Xenopus tropicalis: one gene and its partners. The protein of the gene in region 3 interacts with the protein of the main gene of each other region in a pairwise test. Links are inferred from orthologs where the notes say so. Each region holds a gene or a part of one and is shown on either strand. Other genes may lie near its edges. The genes, in order: dual specificity protein phosphatase 13, cep19 and calcoco1.

The links.
Region 1: the proteins of calcoco1 (region 3) and dual specificity protein phosphatase 13 interact in binary tests that used the Homo sapiens proteins (3 or more experiments, as listed by UniProt). The two-hybrid records come from large-scale screens. The link is inferred for Xenopus tropicalis from reciprocal best matches to the Homo sapiens genes CALCOCO1 and DUSP13B.
Region 2: the proteins of calcoco1 (region 3) and cep19 interact in binary tests that used the Homo sapiens proteins (3 or more experiments, as listed by UniProt). The two-hybrid records come from large-scale screens. The link is inferred for Xenopus tropicalis from reciprocal best matches to the Homo sapiens genes CALCOCO1 and CEP19.

Annotation. Positions count from the first base shown.
Region 1 is NC_030683.2:55,066,478-55,071,933, reverse strand, and holds the start of dual specificity protein phosphatase 13, read right to left. Parts: upstream 3,178-5,456; 5' UTR 3,092-3,177; intron 1-3,091. UniProt on the Homo sapiens protein: Dual specificity phosphatase that dephosphorylates MAPK8/JNK and MAPK14/p38, but not MAPK1/ERK2, in vitro. Exhibits intrinsic phosphatase activity towards both phospho-seryl/threonyl and -tyrosyl residues, with similar specific activities in vitro.
Region 2 is NC_030681.2:133,901,980-133,907,568, forward strand, and holds the start of cep19 (centrosomal protein of 19 kDa), read right to left. Parts: upstream 3,281-5,589; 5' UTR 3,239-3,280; intron 2,228-3,238; exon of another isoform or gene 2,069-2,227; intron 268-2,068; 5' UTR 250-267; coding exon 120-249; intron 1-119. UniProt on the Homo sapiens protein: Required for ciliation. Recruits the RABL2B GTPase to the ciliary base to initiate ciliation.
Region 3 is NC_030678.2:146,549,412-146,554,242, reverse strand, and holds part of calcoco1 (calcium-binding and coiled-coil domain-containing protein 1), read right to left. Parts: intron 3,705-4,831; coding exon 3,579-3,704; intron 2,951-3,578; coding exon 2,855-2,950; intron 2,312-2,854; coding exon 2,206-2,311; intron 1,640-2,205; coding exon 1,425-1,639; intron 1-1,424. UniProt on the Homo sapiens protein: Functions as a coactivator for aryl hydrocarbon and nuclear receptors (NR). Recruited to promoters through its contact with the N-terminal basic helix-loop-helix-Per-Arnt-Sim (PAS) domain of transcription factors or coactivators, such as NCOA2.

The DNA of each region.
Region 1 (5,456 bases), on a different chromosome or scaffold from region 3:
TGGTTGCAGAGAAAACTGGGCCATAAAATGCAACTCAACTGCATTAAAATGATGATTTTGTCACACATAACGAAACAAGGGCACTATCAGCTTTAATCGCTTAATGCACATGCTCCAGCAACTGCTTAGAGATCTATATACAGCCTGTCATTGGTTTGGCTAATTATCCAGTAGTATTTTGCTGGCTTGCTGTGATCAAGGTATCTGACATGGCAAAACAATACTATTCGGTTTATTTAATGTTTAAATGTTTTTTTAGTAGACTTATAGGGGCTGATTTACTAACCCACGAATCCGACCCGAATTGGAAAAGTTCCGACTTGAAAACGAACATTTTGCGACTTTTTCGTATGTTTTGCGATTTTTTCGGATTCTTTACGAATTTTTCGTTACCAATACGATTTTTGCGTAAAAACGCGAGTTTTTCGTATACATTACGAAAGTTGCGCATTTTTCGTAGCGTTAAAACTTACGCGAAAAGTTGCGCATTTTTCATAGCGTTAAGTTTTAACGCTACGAAAAATGCGCAACTTTTTACGCAACTTTCGTAATGTATACGAAAAACTCGCGTTTTTACGCAAAAATCGTATTGGTAACGAAAAATTCGTAAAGAATCCGAAAAAATCGCAAAACATACGAAAAAATCGCAAAATACCGATCATTACGAAAAAAACGCAATCGGACTCATTTCGACCCGTTCGTGGGTAAGTAAATCAGCCCCATAGTATAGTGATCCAAATTACAGAAAGATCCCTTATTGGGGAAAAACCCTAGGTCCTGAGCACTCTGGATAACAGGTCCCATACCTGTAATACTCATGTTAAACAGATTAGAACCATTGCCAATAGGAAACTAAAATATTACTATAATACTATTAACTAGGCAGCAATTCCCAATGCTTTAGAGCAGTGATCCCTAACCACTGGCTCTTATGTAACACGTTGCTCACCAACCCTTTGAATATTGCCCCCAGTGGCCTCAAAGCAGGTGCTTATTCTTAAATGTCTTGAAGGAAAGTTTTTAAAACATAAAAAACAGGTGTACTGCCAAACAGAGCCTCCTGTAGGCTGCCAGTCCACATTGGGGATACCAAATAGGCAAACATAGCCCTTATTGGGAACCCCAAGAAATATTTTTTATGCTTGTGTTGCTCCCCAACTCACTGGTAAAAAAAGGTTGGGGACCCCTGCATTAGTGGCTTCCCAAAGGCCCAAAGAAAACAAATTCTCCAATGCAGAACACAGACTGGGTCAACATATTTTAATGTCATTCATTATAGCCAGCAACTGGAAGAAACCCTCATTCCCACTATCAATATTAAAAGCCAAAAGATTGCATAAAGCCACCAAAGAACAACTCACCTATTCTCTCAAAAAGGATATGGGGGCATATGACAAAATATGGATCCTATAGCTAATGCAGGACAACAATGCCCAGCTTTCTTACACCTTACATCAGTGTTCCCCAACCAGGGGCTCATGAGCAACATATTGCCAACCCCTTGGATGTTGCTCCCAGGGGCCTCAAAGCAGGTGCTTATTTTTGAATTTCTGGCTAGGGGCAAGTTTTCGTTGCATAAAAACCAAGTATAATGCCAAACAGAGCCTTCTGTAGGCTGCCAGTCCACATATGGGTTATTAAGTAGCCAATTATAGCTCTTAGTGGCACCCCCAGGAACCCTTTTCATGCTTGTGTTGTTCTCCAACACTTTTTCTATTTAAATGTGGCTCATGGGTATAAAAGGTTGGGGATCCCTGCCTTATATGCATTAAATTGGATAAATCATCTAGCTGTATCTCCAGCTCTCTATTAGTATACCTCCTCCATATTTAACAAACATACACAGCAACCCATCTACTAACTTCCCAATGTTCAGATTATACAACCCAGCTGCCCTCTACTCAATATTTGCAGTATGATATTTTTATTTTGAAATCCTGCCAGTCATTTTGTAGGTTTTTTTTCCCTGTTATCACCTGTTTCTTATAGGGACAGCAGCTCATGTTCCTATATCTTTTATTTGGAAACATGAGTTAAATACTTCATAAAAAGCCAACCTTTTGTCCAAATTACTTATATGCTATTGTGACTCCAACACTTCGTTGACCCTTTTTGTTGTAGTCCAAGTGGTACAAAAATCCTCCAATGTGAACTGCAGGGGAATGCAAGAAATGCCCAAGGAAAGTTGTTAAAATGAAATGCTGTAATATGCAGATGTAAAGAATATGTATTTTGTAATTAGTGAGGATGGTGCAGGGAGAAATGTATTTTCTTCCTGTATAATACAGACATTTTTATAAAACAACTTTTAAAGGAGTAGTTCACCTTTAAAAATTTAGAGCCATTTTAGACCTGAGGGAACTAAACAAGTAACTAAAAGAAATACTTTACAGACTGAATCTGTTCAGTCCACCTTTAAATAGGTATTTAAATAGGTATTAAATCAGGTATTTATTTTTTATATTTTATAGTATAAAAATTATGTAGTTTTTTGTTCAGCAAATCTCTAGTTTGCCATTTCAGTTGTCTTGTAACTAAGAATAAATAATACAGAAAAAAAGTGTCTTTATCTCATTGCTAAGGTCTGTATATGAATACATACAATAAACAACAAATAAGCACTGAAACATGCAAACATTTAATGGTTCTAATTAGTCACAAAAATTCAAAAAGCAAACCATACTATACCAAACACCACAGGTTTCACTGCTAATTTGTTGTTTATTGTATGTTATCTTGTAGCTAAGGTCCAGTTTACCTCAGCAACTAGGCAGATGTTTCCATGAGAGACTGAAGAGATAAAGATAATTTGGCATGAATAGAAAGATAAGGAATAAAAAGTAACAGTAAAATTGTAGCCTTACAGTACAACAGTTTTTTTTGGCTGCATGGGGCAGTGACCCTATTATTTGATGTGAAATATGATAACTTTTTTATTTTTTATAGTTTTTAAAGTAAACGTACAGGTAACTTCACTTTAAATTTTTTCATACCTTCTTCATCCATGAATACTATTGATACAAATACATTTACAGGTAATATTAAACTTGATTTGTACCTTTAACCATGCCTATCTGAATTTAGAACACACCTGTTTCAATCCTTTTCTTCTGTTTCACTTTAATTTTCTCACTCTCAGCGTCTTGTGTTTTCCGTCTCATGCAAAGCTGATCCTTCTTCCTAATGTGTATACAGTAACTCAAGGATATATTTTTTAGAATCTATTTTTATAATTGTTAATTTTATCATATGATGTGCTAGGTGCCACATACAGGAAGCCTGAAAGAAGACCAAAAGTATAGGGTTACTTAGGATAGTGTTCCAAAGTCCAGGCCTAAAAAGCTATTTTTGATAGAGCATGACAGTGCAGTTTAAACTTTCACTGGCAGCAGAATTTCACACTTCATTTGGATTTCATTTGAATGGAGGCATAGCATCGAACTATCCTCCTACCTCAGACAGTCTTTTGCAAGAAGCGTAATAAGAAGAACATTTTAAATATTTGTATTAGTGTTGAGGTAGCTGGCATGGTGCACATCGTGATGAATCTCAGGAAACCAGTGAATTGGATGAATGCTTATGCAGACTCAACTAAATGTAACCATATATTAACTAGAGGACTGCTGTTTCCCAACTTCCTACTTGAGCTTTCCAATGTATAGTATCAGTCTGATGTATAGCATCTCTGATGAGTTCTGTAGTAACCTCTAAATTTGATGTATAACTAAGCAGGCTTAGGGGCACATTTACTAACCCACAAACGGGCCGAATGCGTCCGATTGCGTTTTTTTCGTAATGATCGGTAATTTTGCGATTTTTTCGGCGTCTTTACGATATTCCGAAAAACTCGCGTTTTTACGCAAAAATCGTAAAGACGCCGAAAAACTCGCGTTTTTACGAAAAAATCGTAAAGACGCCGAAAAAATCCCAAAAATACGAAAAAGTCACAAAATGTTCGTTTCCAATCGGAATTTTTCCAATTCGGATTTGAAATCGTGTCTTAGTAAATCAGCCCCTTAGTGTCAGAATTGCCCTTCAATACAATTCTTGCCTTGTGCACTTGCCCAGACATTGCATCCACAGTGCATGAACTTGGGTTGTGAATAGCCTGTCATGCCTGCATTTTGCCACTGCTTTATTCCTGTTCATGAATAATTTGGTGCACACATAGATGACCAGTGGAAGTAACATAACTGAAAGTGTTTCTGGGATGCAGTGCAAAGTTCTGTGTAACCTCTGAGAACTAGCTCATTTGATGAATACCTGAGCAGCATCCAATACATTCCTAGATGCAAATGTTGCTTCAGCTGAAAGAATCATCTGGCCACTTTAATCCCACCTGGATGTTGCCTTAGAACCTCTTCTGAGGGTCCCAGTCCATGCACATTGAAGTAATTAAAGGTTCCCTTACCCAAGAATAAAGCAATTGTTAAAAATGACAAAATCTTTGCCTTTATTGTGGGGAATAGGTTCACTTCCTCTGTATTTGTCTTGCTGTGTAAGTCTGAAAAGATTTGCTTTACGGCCCAGTAAAATCTTCTGTTCCTCTTCTACTACATTTTTATAAACATTCAGAATGTCATCTGATGTTGTTGAAACATTCATTACAAATTTGTAATTTTTAATAAGTTATTTGTATATTTTATTGTTATTAAAAGCAGTGTGTATCTGTCCTTTACTATTCTCTGCCCTGGTGGCTCTGACTTTTGAAACAATGTAACACAAGCTAGAAGCCAGCTGATTGACAGACCTGTCCTGCTGGAGGAGACCTTTGCAACATTGTTTAAAAAGCCACAACAAGCAACAACAAATGCTGGGTTCTATAGCAATTACATTTAAGAATAGCTTTTAAAGCACTAAAAATATTTTAAATAAATTCATGTTAAAAAAGTTGCTTAGAATTTTTTTTACATATATATATATTGTATGTATATATGGAACTGGGTGTGAACAGTGTAGCATCGACACGTAGAGGGGTAATGCACAAGCATCTTCTCTCTTTAAGATTTCAAGCTCTTTTACCCAGGGAACCCTTTACCTTTTACATTAAAGTGGACCTGTCACCCAGGCATGAAAAGCTGTATAATAAAAGCCCTTTTCAAATTAAATATGAAACCAAAAGCATTTTTTATTAACACACCCATACCCATATAAAAGCATTTAAACATCCCAGCTGTAAATCATATATTGCTTACCCCACCTCTATGCCTCAGGGCAGACAGTTACTGATAGTTACAGATAGTTTCATAACCAGTGCATGGACATGGGTATCAGGTCCCCCCATACTGGCAGAAACAAGATTTTGTCAGGATACAAAGCTTGCGTTAATAACAGTGTCCACAAAATGGTGCCTGCCTGCATGCTGCAATTGTGAATTCCAAGGCAGAAGAGAATAAAATTAAAATAATTTCAACAATGTAGGTGAAGTTTATTTTGCTTGACAAACACAATTTGGA
Region 2 (5,589 bases), on a different chromosome or scaffold from region 3:
GGGTTATTATCATGTTATGCTGTTACTGGAGTGGTCAAGTCAGTTCTTAAGGAAAGTAATATATAAACATATGTATACAGATGTGCTTGGCTACATCATCCTGACCAGAGGTAACTGACCTGAATATTTCGAGAAATTTCGGATAGGCATAATGCGCTGACGTGATTTTCCTGCTTCTTTATCTTCATACACCAGAATGATCGCAGGGGGTTGAAAGCGAACCCCACACTTCTTTGCCATGTAGCTCATCTCCCCTTTACAGTTGGGCTGAAACAAGCAATGTAAAATTATTTTTCTTTACAACAAGTCATTATTACAGGTATGGGATCCCTTATCCGGAAACTCATTATCTAGAAAGTTCCACATTACCGGAAGGCCATCTTCCATGGACTCCATTATAAGCCAAGAATTCTAATTTTTAAAAATGATTTTTTTTTTAATCTGTAATAATAAAACTGTACCTTGTACTTGATGGGAACTAAGATATAATTAATCCTTATTGGAAGTAAAACAATCCTGTTGGGCTTATGTAATGATTAAATGATTTTTAATTTAATATACTCAGGGTATGGAGATTCAAATTACCAAAAGAACCCTTTATCTGGAAAACCCCAGGTCCCAAGCATTCTGGATAACAGGTCCTATACCTGTATTGTTAACACATATTTATGAAACACCAATGTATTCCGCAGCTTTATCATTTAAAGATTATATGATAAGGGATGTGTACTGTTTTATCTTTTACTCCTAAAACGCCAATTAAGAAGGATCCCCACAACATGATGCTTTCACCTACCTGATTTATAGTAGTATTGGTATTCTTAGGGTGCTTATAGAAATTTGTCCATGAAAATAGTTTTTTTAATTAATGGCCCATGTTTTTTTCAAATTCTTATGAGTGAAAACTATAATTAATTCTGGATATGGTGGATCTTCATAATTAAGAGGAATAGGTTTTAATATGTTAAAATTTTAATCGGACTCAGCATGTGAGGGAGAGTCAGGTTGATAAATGCTACTCTTGAAAAGATCAAGCATCTTCTTGATGTGCAAAGATACATCATCTATTGCCTATGTGATCTAACAGAAATTTTCAAGTAAACAGTGTTTTATTTAATAATTCTTTTTTGAACATATTCATATCAGAGAAAGTGTCTAATACAGCTGCACTGCTGAAGGGCAAAACCAATAATGGCAAAGCAAATGAACCCAATTCTGAAAAAAAAGTTCCAACCCCAGTGGCATCTTTGTAACTTTTAACTTCAATCCAAAATCAGATTGGTTGCAGTCAGTGTTCCACCCTGATACATTATTCAACTTTCACCAATGCTGATCAAGTTTGCCTAGATCATCCTTATATGAGGGCATAAATGAAAGATTTGTAAGGAAACATTTTTATAGGGCCAAGAACGAGTTGGCTTAGTAAGCAAAGTGACTGAAATAACTATATATGTTTAAGTAGGCTTTGTTTAACCAACTTTGCAAATTCTGAAAAGTAATCTTTTAGGCCATTGGCTCACAGGGCAACGGAAGTGAGTGTGCTGGTAAAGTTCAGGTCCAGGTAGGGGCATAGAAATGAAAATCACATGGTTGTCCATTATCCTTGCTTTCTATAAAGAGGAAGGTGAATGATCAGCTCTCAATTACAAACTGGAATTTTAAGCCAAAATATGTTTCAGAAGTTTGCATATTATTTTTTCAAATCAGCTTCAATCAGTTGAACTTTTTTTTATAAAGAAGTGGATTTTTAGGTCATTATTTTGACTAAGCCCCCTGCTCACTAATCTCCTGATAGGCAGCTATTGTGTGGTCCTGAGCCGCAAGAGATTATATAAGGAGCTTCACCCAAGTGTTCCTCACAGCCTGGAAAGTTTTTGGAAGTTGAAAATCAGCTCAAACTGCTGAGGATCGATAAATATTCCCATATTTGATCAATGATAAATCAGTCTCCAAATCTTTATTTTTGTTAATTTGAACAAAGTATCATGCCTGGGTGCTGCCTATCAAGAACTTAAACAGTCCTTTAAATCATCAGCACACTCCAAGGGCTTGTAAATAATGTTTATACCTCTATTAGTTACAGCATGGTAACTGGTGTCAATGTTTGGTTGTAACTTAAGATCACACTAAAATACACTCCCACCATTACGAGAGACTGGGGATGTATGCTCTTCCTCTGCTTCTGAAGTTTCCCTGTCTTGGAACCTAAGGCGCGCAAAAGTAGCATATAGTAGCATATAGTTGCAATGGCAACATTTTGCTGGTTAGGGACGGGTGCAGGTTGAGTTTTTCCTGACCTGCACATCACTAATACATACTGTATGCATCCCTTATTCAACTCATTCACAGACAGTTAGGAATTTTGAATAGTATACAGGTATAGGATCTTTTATCAGTAATGTTTGGCTTCTGTTGTATTCTGGGTAAGTATTTTTTTCATAATTAGGATCACCATACCTTAGGTTTGCTAAAAACTTTAAATAGACCTAATGGGATATTTTTGCAGCCAATGTGGATCTATGGACATAAGTTATAAATAAGCACAAGGTACCCCCCCCCCCCAAAAAAATGTATATGCCTATAAATCTGATTTATTTAAGGGAAAAAAAATGCCCCCAACCTCCACCACAGAGTTCCTGGGGAAATCTGGTGACGGAGCTGGGGGGGGGGGGGGGGGTGAGGATTTCACGCCATAGGCACTGCGTAAATGACTTAACATCTGCCATGTAGGGGGCGTATTTAGGTCCAGTGCCACCAGCCCTGCCTGTATGTAAACAAGTTATCCTAAAGGTTAACAACCTCTTTAATGCTAATTAACAACATTAAATATTGAAAAATAAAAGCCAATAGTGTTGTTGTGCTACAGCATGGATTTATACTTTAGTATGGTTACCATGAAGTACAAGGTTATTGCCACAAGTAGAAATAAAAAAAAAAATCCATGTTTGTATTTTGGAGCTCTCTGGGGGGAATCATTTTGCATTAACCCCAGACATCACAATAATATCACTATAGAGTATTCCCTTATCCCCTTATCCTCAGACTGGCCAATAACATAACTGCACAAATGCATGAGTATTGTGACTTTACACAGATGCTAAGAGTGATAGTTTAACAAACGACAGTCACAGACAAAATGCAGCTGGGTGCTTACAGGTTTGAGTGCAACATGCACCCTGGGCCATTTACACAGCCCCCCCACCCACTCACCAGAACCACTGGTGCCCCTATAACTTACCACGCTCACTCCTGTGCCAGGAACTGCATTGGCTTAAACAGAGAGTCTGCAGTATTGTTGCCTGTAGCAACCAATAAGCAAATAGATATGAACGGTAACTTGCAAGCTGGAAAACGAAAGCAAAGATCTGATTGGTTGCTGTGGGGGGAAGGGGGAGAGACAAGGACTCCGCGTAATCAGAGCCAAGTCTTTTTTTCCTGAAGGGAAAGCAAGTGGGGGTGGGAGCACTGGCTATTCAGTTGTTCATTAGGCGGCTGCCTTGCCCTTACCTGATCAGTCAGTCAAGCTTCCGACACCCAAAGCCACAGGGAGCGGAGATCTCAAATACTGTCTCTCTATTGTCACTGTGCGAGGTGGGGGCAGGGGGCAGCCAGCACTGTGCCTGAGCTCTTCCTTAGGGGCCTGTTGGTAACACACATTGCTCAGAGATCTGCTAAACAGCCCCACACAGACCGCATTTGTTTATTTCATGTTTTCATTGTTCAAGCCAGCCGATAACTAGTGGCTGTGTTCCCTTGTGGATTCCAATAAATGCACAAAGCGAGTGTAAATTCCTGGCCATCTGCTGTCTTCCAGTGGTTGTGGAACTGCAGTTCTCTGTTTTTGTCTGGGGGGGAAAAAAGCATCAGAAAGCACAAAGAATGGCACCTAGAAGAATATTATATATTAAACTTGTAGAGTGGGTGGGTGACTGTGGCTTTGAAACAAAAGTTTTCAAGGGAGCATAGAACGCAGTGGTGTTGGGAACTTACATAAAAATACGCACAATAATGTGGAAAAAGTGGCAAGAGGAGAGGGGATACCCCACACACATGGGACAGGGAACATATATATCTCAGTCCTTATAGTGTCTGCACTCCAAAGCTTGCAGCTTTGCGGGGTGCACAGCCATATTTTAAGTATTCAGAGATAATTATTCCGTGGCCGTCACATCCTTAAAATTTCTCAATTTTATTTAAGACATATTGTTTTAAAAGAATCTGACGTTTCGGTCCACAATAGGACCTTTCTCAAGGATACAGTAGTGTTCACGATACTTTTAAATACAATCTCAAATTCAACAAGTGGAAAAGTGCCCAATCCCCATCATCAAACTATTATACAATTAGCCAATATTCTTGTGTATGTGCAAATTCAAATGGACCAGTGTCTGACCATTTGCAGTGCATAATAGTTTAAAAAATTCATATAAATTTTATAAATAATCTCATAATAAAACTAGTGTTTCATTCAGTAAAGTATTGTGCATAGTGTATTCACATAATTGCCATATGATATGAATACTTAAAAAGTGCAATGCTATAAAATAGTTATAAAGTGCAATATTTGTTTTGGTTTGCAAAAACCTGTGCATCATCATGTAAGCTCAATAGTGTCCTTGTAAAAAAAAAAGTTCATAAAAAAATCGTGTAGGAAAAGAAATATATTTTTTTTATATAACTCTTAATATATACATATTCAAGCTTATTTTGTGACACTATTTAGGAATATCAAAAAGGTATACAGAATATCCTATAAACCGATCCTTTCGAGTTGATCATGTATGATTAAGAGCTTATATTTTACCATATTTGTCTAGACTAAAAAACAACAAGATTTAATTGTCCGTTTAGACCTCGTGGATTCACACAATTCAATTTGTTTATCCAAAAAGCCTCCCTTCTCAGAAGTCTCTTGCCACTGTCTTGGATGTATCTCAATTTGTTCTATAGGCATGCACCGAAACGAGGAAGCGTCATGTTTTGCCTCAGCCCATTGTTTTGCCACCGGTTGTTGCTTGTGTTCCTCAGTTTTTTGGGGTTTTTGTGGCCCGTTCTGGATCTACAGTAGGGCTGCCCTAATACTCAGTGCATACCTGTCCTCTCTTTTAACTGCCTCACAGTCTTGCCACAATAAAGTAGTCCACATGGACACTTTATAATATATACTACCATGGTAGTCTTGCACGTCATACGTTGTCTAATCTTATACTTCTTTCCAGTGTGCGGATGGGTAAAATCTGTCCCCAAAATGGGGCAATTACACACCATGTACATCTATATTCTCCGGGGTGTGGAAGTGCGTGTGACTTTGTTTTATGTACTTGTCTCTCGGGTCAGTGGGGATTAGTATTTCCTTCAAGTTTCTTGCCCTTGAATAACTAAACTTGGGTCTCTTGCCTATTTTAGACTTCAATTGCTCATCAGTATGCACTACATCCCAATATTTCAAAATAGTGTTTTTAATTTCTTTACTGTTGGGATTAAACCGAGTCACATAATAGACCTCATTATTATTCTCTCTCTGAACTCTGCTCATTTGATCTTGCTGTACCAACACCTGCTCACAATCCACCTCCCTTGCCCATTTCA
Region 3 (4,831 bases):
TATGTCATTTTGTTAAAAACTTTCTTGACTTTAAGGAAATAAAACTGCAATACATCAAATGTGCAAGTGCTAATACAAGGGGGGGACTGGACAGAATATGCATGGATTTATATTGATTTTTCATCTAATAATCTGTACAAAAGAGATTGTCAATGACATTAAATATTATTCAATAGCAACTGCTTCCATCTCTCGCTCCCTCCTTGCTTATTCTTTCCTCGCTGCTTTGAAGAATTACCCACCTACCTTCAGGCAGCTTTCTTTTCTCTATAGCGGTTCACATAATTAATGCCATTATTGTTATTTTTCCTCTCAACGTTTTACAGCCTAAATGCATTATTTTGCACTTCAGGCACTAAATTTTATCTAGCATACTTCTGCAGCATTCTGATTTACTAGTTGTTACAGCTCAGTATATCTCATGACATTAACTTTCCTTCATGTATTTGTCTCATCTGCAAACAAATCCATTCCATCTCATTTGTTACACCCTTAAGGAAATATTAAATAATGGACTTTGTACATAAATCTGAGGCGCTCAGGCAAAAATATATATATGCAAAATACATTTTTAAATAAAGTGAAAACCTCAATTGCTTTATCTGTTATCAGGGTCATGAAAAAAGGGGTCTGTAGACCCAGCACCTGCAGGAGGTATCCAGGTGTGCAGAGGTTAATTTCAGCATATGTTTGCAAAACATACTATATGCATAAAGGTTGTGGTGTCCTTATTAAATTCTAGTAATTAGAATTTAATACTGACTGTTATTTGATAGGTTTGGAGCTACTTCTCTCTAAGCTTGAAACTTAACCATTAACTGTCTTAGGCCACTGATGTTTATTCTCTCATCCTTCAGAAACTGTTCCTGGTTTCTAGAAGATCTATTCTTCTCTATAAGACTTATATATATAGTACTGAAAGGAACACTCAAATGTAATAAAACAGCTGCCTGGGTGCAAATGAAGATAGTAATAAAGATAGAAAGCACTGCACTCAGGACAGGGAATCACTTAATTGTTTGTTTCCCTTGAGAAAGGTCACTAAGTGTGACCAAAATGTTGGGATTTAAATAAAGCCTTTTTGAGTGCTGTTGAGTGCAATGCTTTCTATTTGTCTTTTTTCTATACCCTAATATGTTTTCTAGTATCTCACCCCTATATCTGCTTATGGAAATTATAATGGAAAGCACTGTATGAATATTTGGTAGATTTTTACCTTAATCCACACAAGTGCAGTTGCTCTAATGGTGTTCACTGAAGGTACTTCATTTGTTATAGGCCCACCTTATCTCCTGTTAGTATTTGTGTACAGAGGTAAGAGCATATATCTTTGTTACCAATTGTTGTGTTTGCAAGTTATAGTCATTGTAGAGTCATGCAAGTTCATTTTGCTGAATGAACACAGTCAAACAAGTATTACTCACTGAATCAACATTGTCCTCAGGGAGAGGCTGCAGTTGACAAGCAATCGGTGCAGGTTGGTTTATCACCACCTTCTGAGGCTCACATGGAAACAACGGTATGTCCAAGGAGATGTCCTCTTTATCAAAGGAACATGCTCCAAGCTTCTGAGATTCTCTCTCATCCCCTGAAGATTCATCATCTGAATCAGAAAGATCCACTGGTGAAGTAGGAGGACCTGTACAGAAGGTACACAAAACATCAGACAGTTCTAAACAGCCTCTACTTTTAAACCATTCTCTGTAAATACTCACATTCAAGGCGATCAACAAAAATAATAATCTGAACTATAATCCCTCTGCAGCTTCACTTGCCAAACTAACATTACTTTCCAAGTGGCATAAACATTTTCTCTCCGTCCCTACTATCCCTTCCTATTATCAGATGGTAGATAGCATGACTAATAACCTGTTTTTATTTACACAAAAAAGCAATTAGTTACAGGAACACCTACAAATGTAAATAGTAACTTATCACGTATAATACATGAACAAGTAGCAGTTTTTAACCTACAGCTTCAACCTGCTGCTGATCTAGAAACTTCTAGAACACCATAACAGCCACTGTACAAACACTGCAGCTGCCAAGGTTGCATGTCACCAGTACATAAGATAAGCAACCGCATCTTCTCTAAGGCATCATGCACAGAACAATAATAGACATATTTAAAAACTAGCCAATAAATGAAATCTAGGACAACAAGGGGTAAATGTTAAATCATACAGAGGGCACTTAAGTGCATACTTAGGTCTGCTGTTGTTTCTTCCATAAGTATCTCTTCTTCTTTCCATTTCTCATCAGCCAGCTTGTCTAGCCGTTCTTCCAGCCTATGAACATACTGGAGCATTTCCTAAAACAAAAAAAGAACAAAGAAGGTAAACCATGAGACATGTCATTAATAAGATCAAATAAAGGTATGAGATTCCTTATCTGGAAAACCATTATGCAGAAAGCTCAGAAACTTTAGATATTATTTCAATTTTCTCTGTAATAATAAAACAGTACTTTGTGTTATATATATATATATATATATACACACAATATATATATATATATATATACACACAATATATATATATATATATATATACACACAATATATATATATATATATATATATAAATATAGATGTATATTTCTATTGTTCTGTATAGTTGTTAGTGGTTAAGTAAGCATAAAAATGAAATGTTTTAGACAAGTGTTTAATTAGATGAATGTATATTAAATCAGAAGTAATGTAACTAAAAACCACCATCCCATAGGTTGCTATACAAAAGGTATCAGCATTTCTGCTTGTGCTGCCTTGCTCCATTACCCACATGTGGCACTTACTTCTGCAGAGCAGATGCTTGATGACAGGCAAGTAATGGAGATATGGCGGTAAATGTCTCACCTGCCTTTCCTCTCTCAGTTGCTCCTTCTCCATCTGTGCAACTTTTAGGGCAGATTTCAATTCACTCAGCTCTCGTCTGTTCTCGGATAACTGTACCTGTACCGTGGTAGACAGATAAGGAACTGCAGTAGATTCATTGCTGGAAATAACTTTTCCCAGATTTATAAATTATTAACATTATTATTATTAACATTTATTTATAAAGCGCCAACATATTCCGCAGCACTGTATAAATGCTGTTATTTTATCACACCTTTCTGGTTCAGAGAAGCTCTAATTGAGCAAGATTCTTATGGCAAAAGTTTAGATGCAGAGGACAAAAAGACAACTTTATTATGTGAAAATACACAACGCTGTATTTTCAAAATGCCTGATGCATTTAGGGAAAAGAGGAAAATCATGGTATAATGATGTACATTGAAGAAGGCAGTCTGTGTTGGGCATCTATTGAGCTCCTTATAAAACATATATGCAAAACACAAGCATTGTCATGCTTTGTCTTGGTCCAACTGACCACTGCATTCAAAGAATGTATGGCTACATTTAATAACTACTTTATCCAAGGTCACACGATGCCAACACTAGAATCAGACTCAGGCTTGTCGATATAGTTTACCTCCATCTTTCTACAGTGTCCATTACTAACTAAACATTGTTCTAGTTCAAATAATAAGCTTCCAGTAAAGTATGGCCTCCCAGAGTATGGGGGTTCTGGGGGTAGTACCTGTCTGGCATCTGATTCCTGGTTAAGTTTGCACTGCAATGTTTGCCTCTGACTTTTCTCCTCCTGCAGACTGCTTTCCAGGCTTAGTTTTTCTGCTTTCAGATTCACAATCTGATCCCTCTTGGCCTGCAATATAGAAGACAGTTTCTCTGGCTTAGCTTACAGAATAAGGAACCTTAATTCTAACTGGTTGGTGTTACACATGCACTTTACTTCTGCACTTGTTTTCCAAGAGCCATTACATACAGTATATACCTTCTGTATTGCAACATACCGCACAGCAAGAGATTTTTTTTTTTTTTTTTTACAGAAAAATAAATTACTTACAGGAATGAAAGTACCCAAGCTTGTAGTTCTTTGTATAGTTTTGACAACTGATTTATTTTAAATGGAACGCAGAATAAGTTAAAAACAGAAGTTTAAACATTAGGCTGGCTAATAATAAAATAACTTCAGCTACAAAATGCTACAATGATACCATTTATACCTTTAGCTGCTACATTTTATGTCATTATGTACATTCTTCTTGAGCAAATTGCCCAGGTTTGTTAGTATAGCAAAAAAGGGAAAGTTGTGCTCACCACTATATTTAAAACCATTAGGTGGGGGTGCAATGAGGCTGTGACCACAAATTAAATTAAAACTAAATTAAAAACAACAAGAGATGCTCTGCACTCACCAAACAATGCCCACCCCTTTAAGCAAAACAGGGATTGTTTGTCCATATATTGCAATATACTTCAAGCTGCGTCAAAGTCATCCCCAATCTGGCCAGTCCTACACTCACTTATCTGATTCATAAAAGGGGACCTGTCACCCTAAGAAATAATTCCAAATTGTTTTCTATTGTGTTTGTCAAGCAAAATAAACTTCACCTACACTGTAGAAATTATTTTAATCTTATTATCTTCAGCCTTGGAATTCACAATTGCAGTAAGCAGGCAGGCACCATTTTGTGGACACGGTTATTAAGGCAAGCTTTGCATCCTGCCAAAATCTTGTTTCTGTGCCAGTATGGGGGGACCGGATACCCATATCCATGCACTGGATACACAATTAGATGGTGAGGAGGGAGGGGGGATGTGAGGGGAACAGCAACATCCAATAAGTTCTGAATTGAAAGTGAACATAACTGTCTGCCCCACCTCTATGCCTAAGGCATAGAGGCGGGGCAGGCAATATATGATTGACAGCTGGGATTTTTAAATGCTTTTATAATGGGCTTTGATGTGTTAATAAAAAATGGCTTTTGG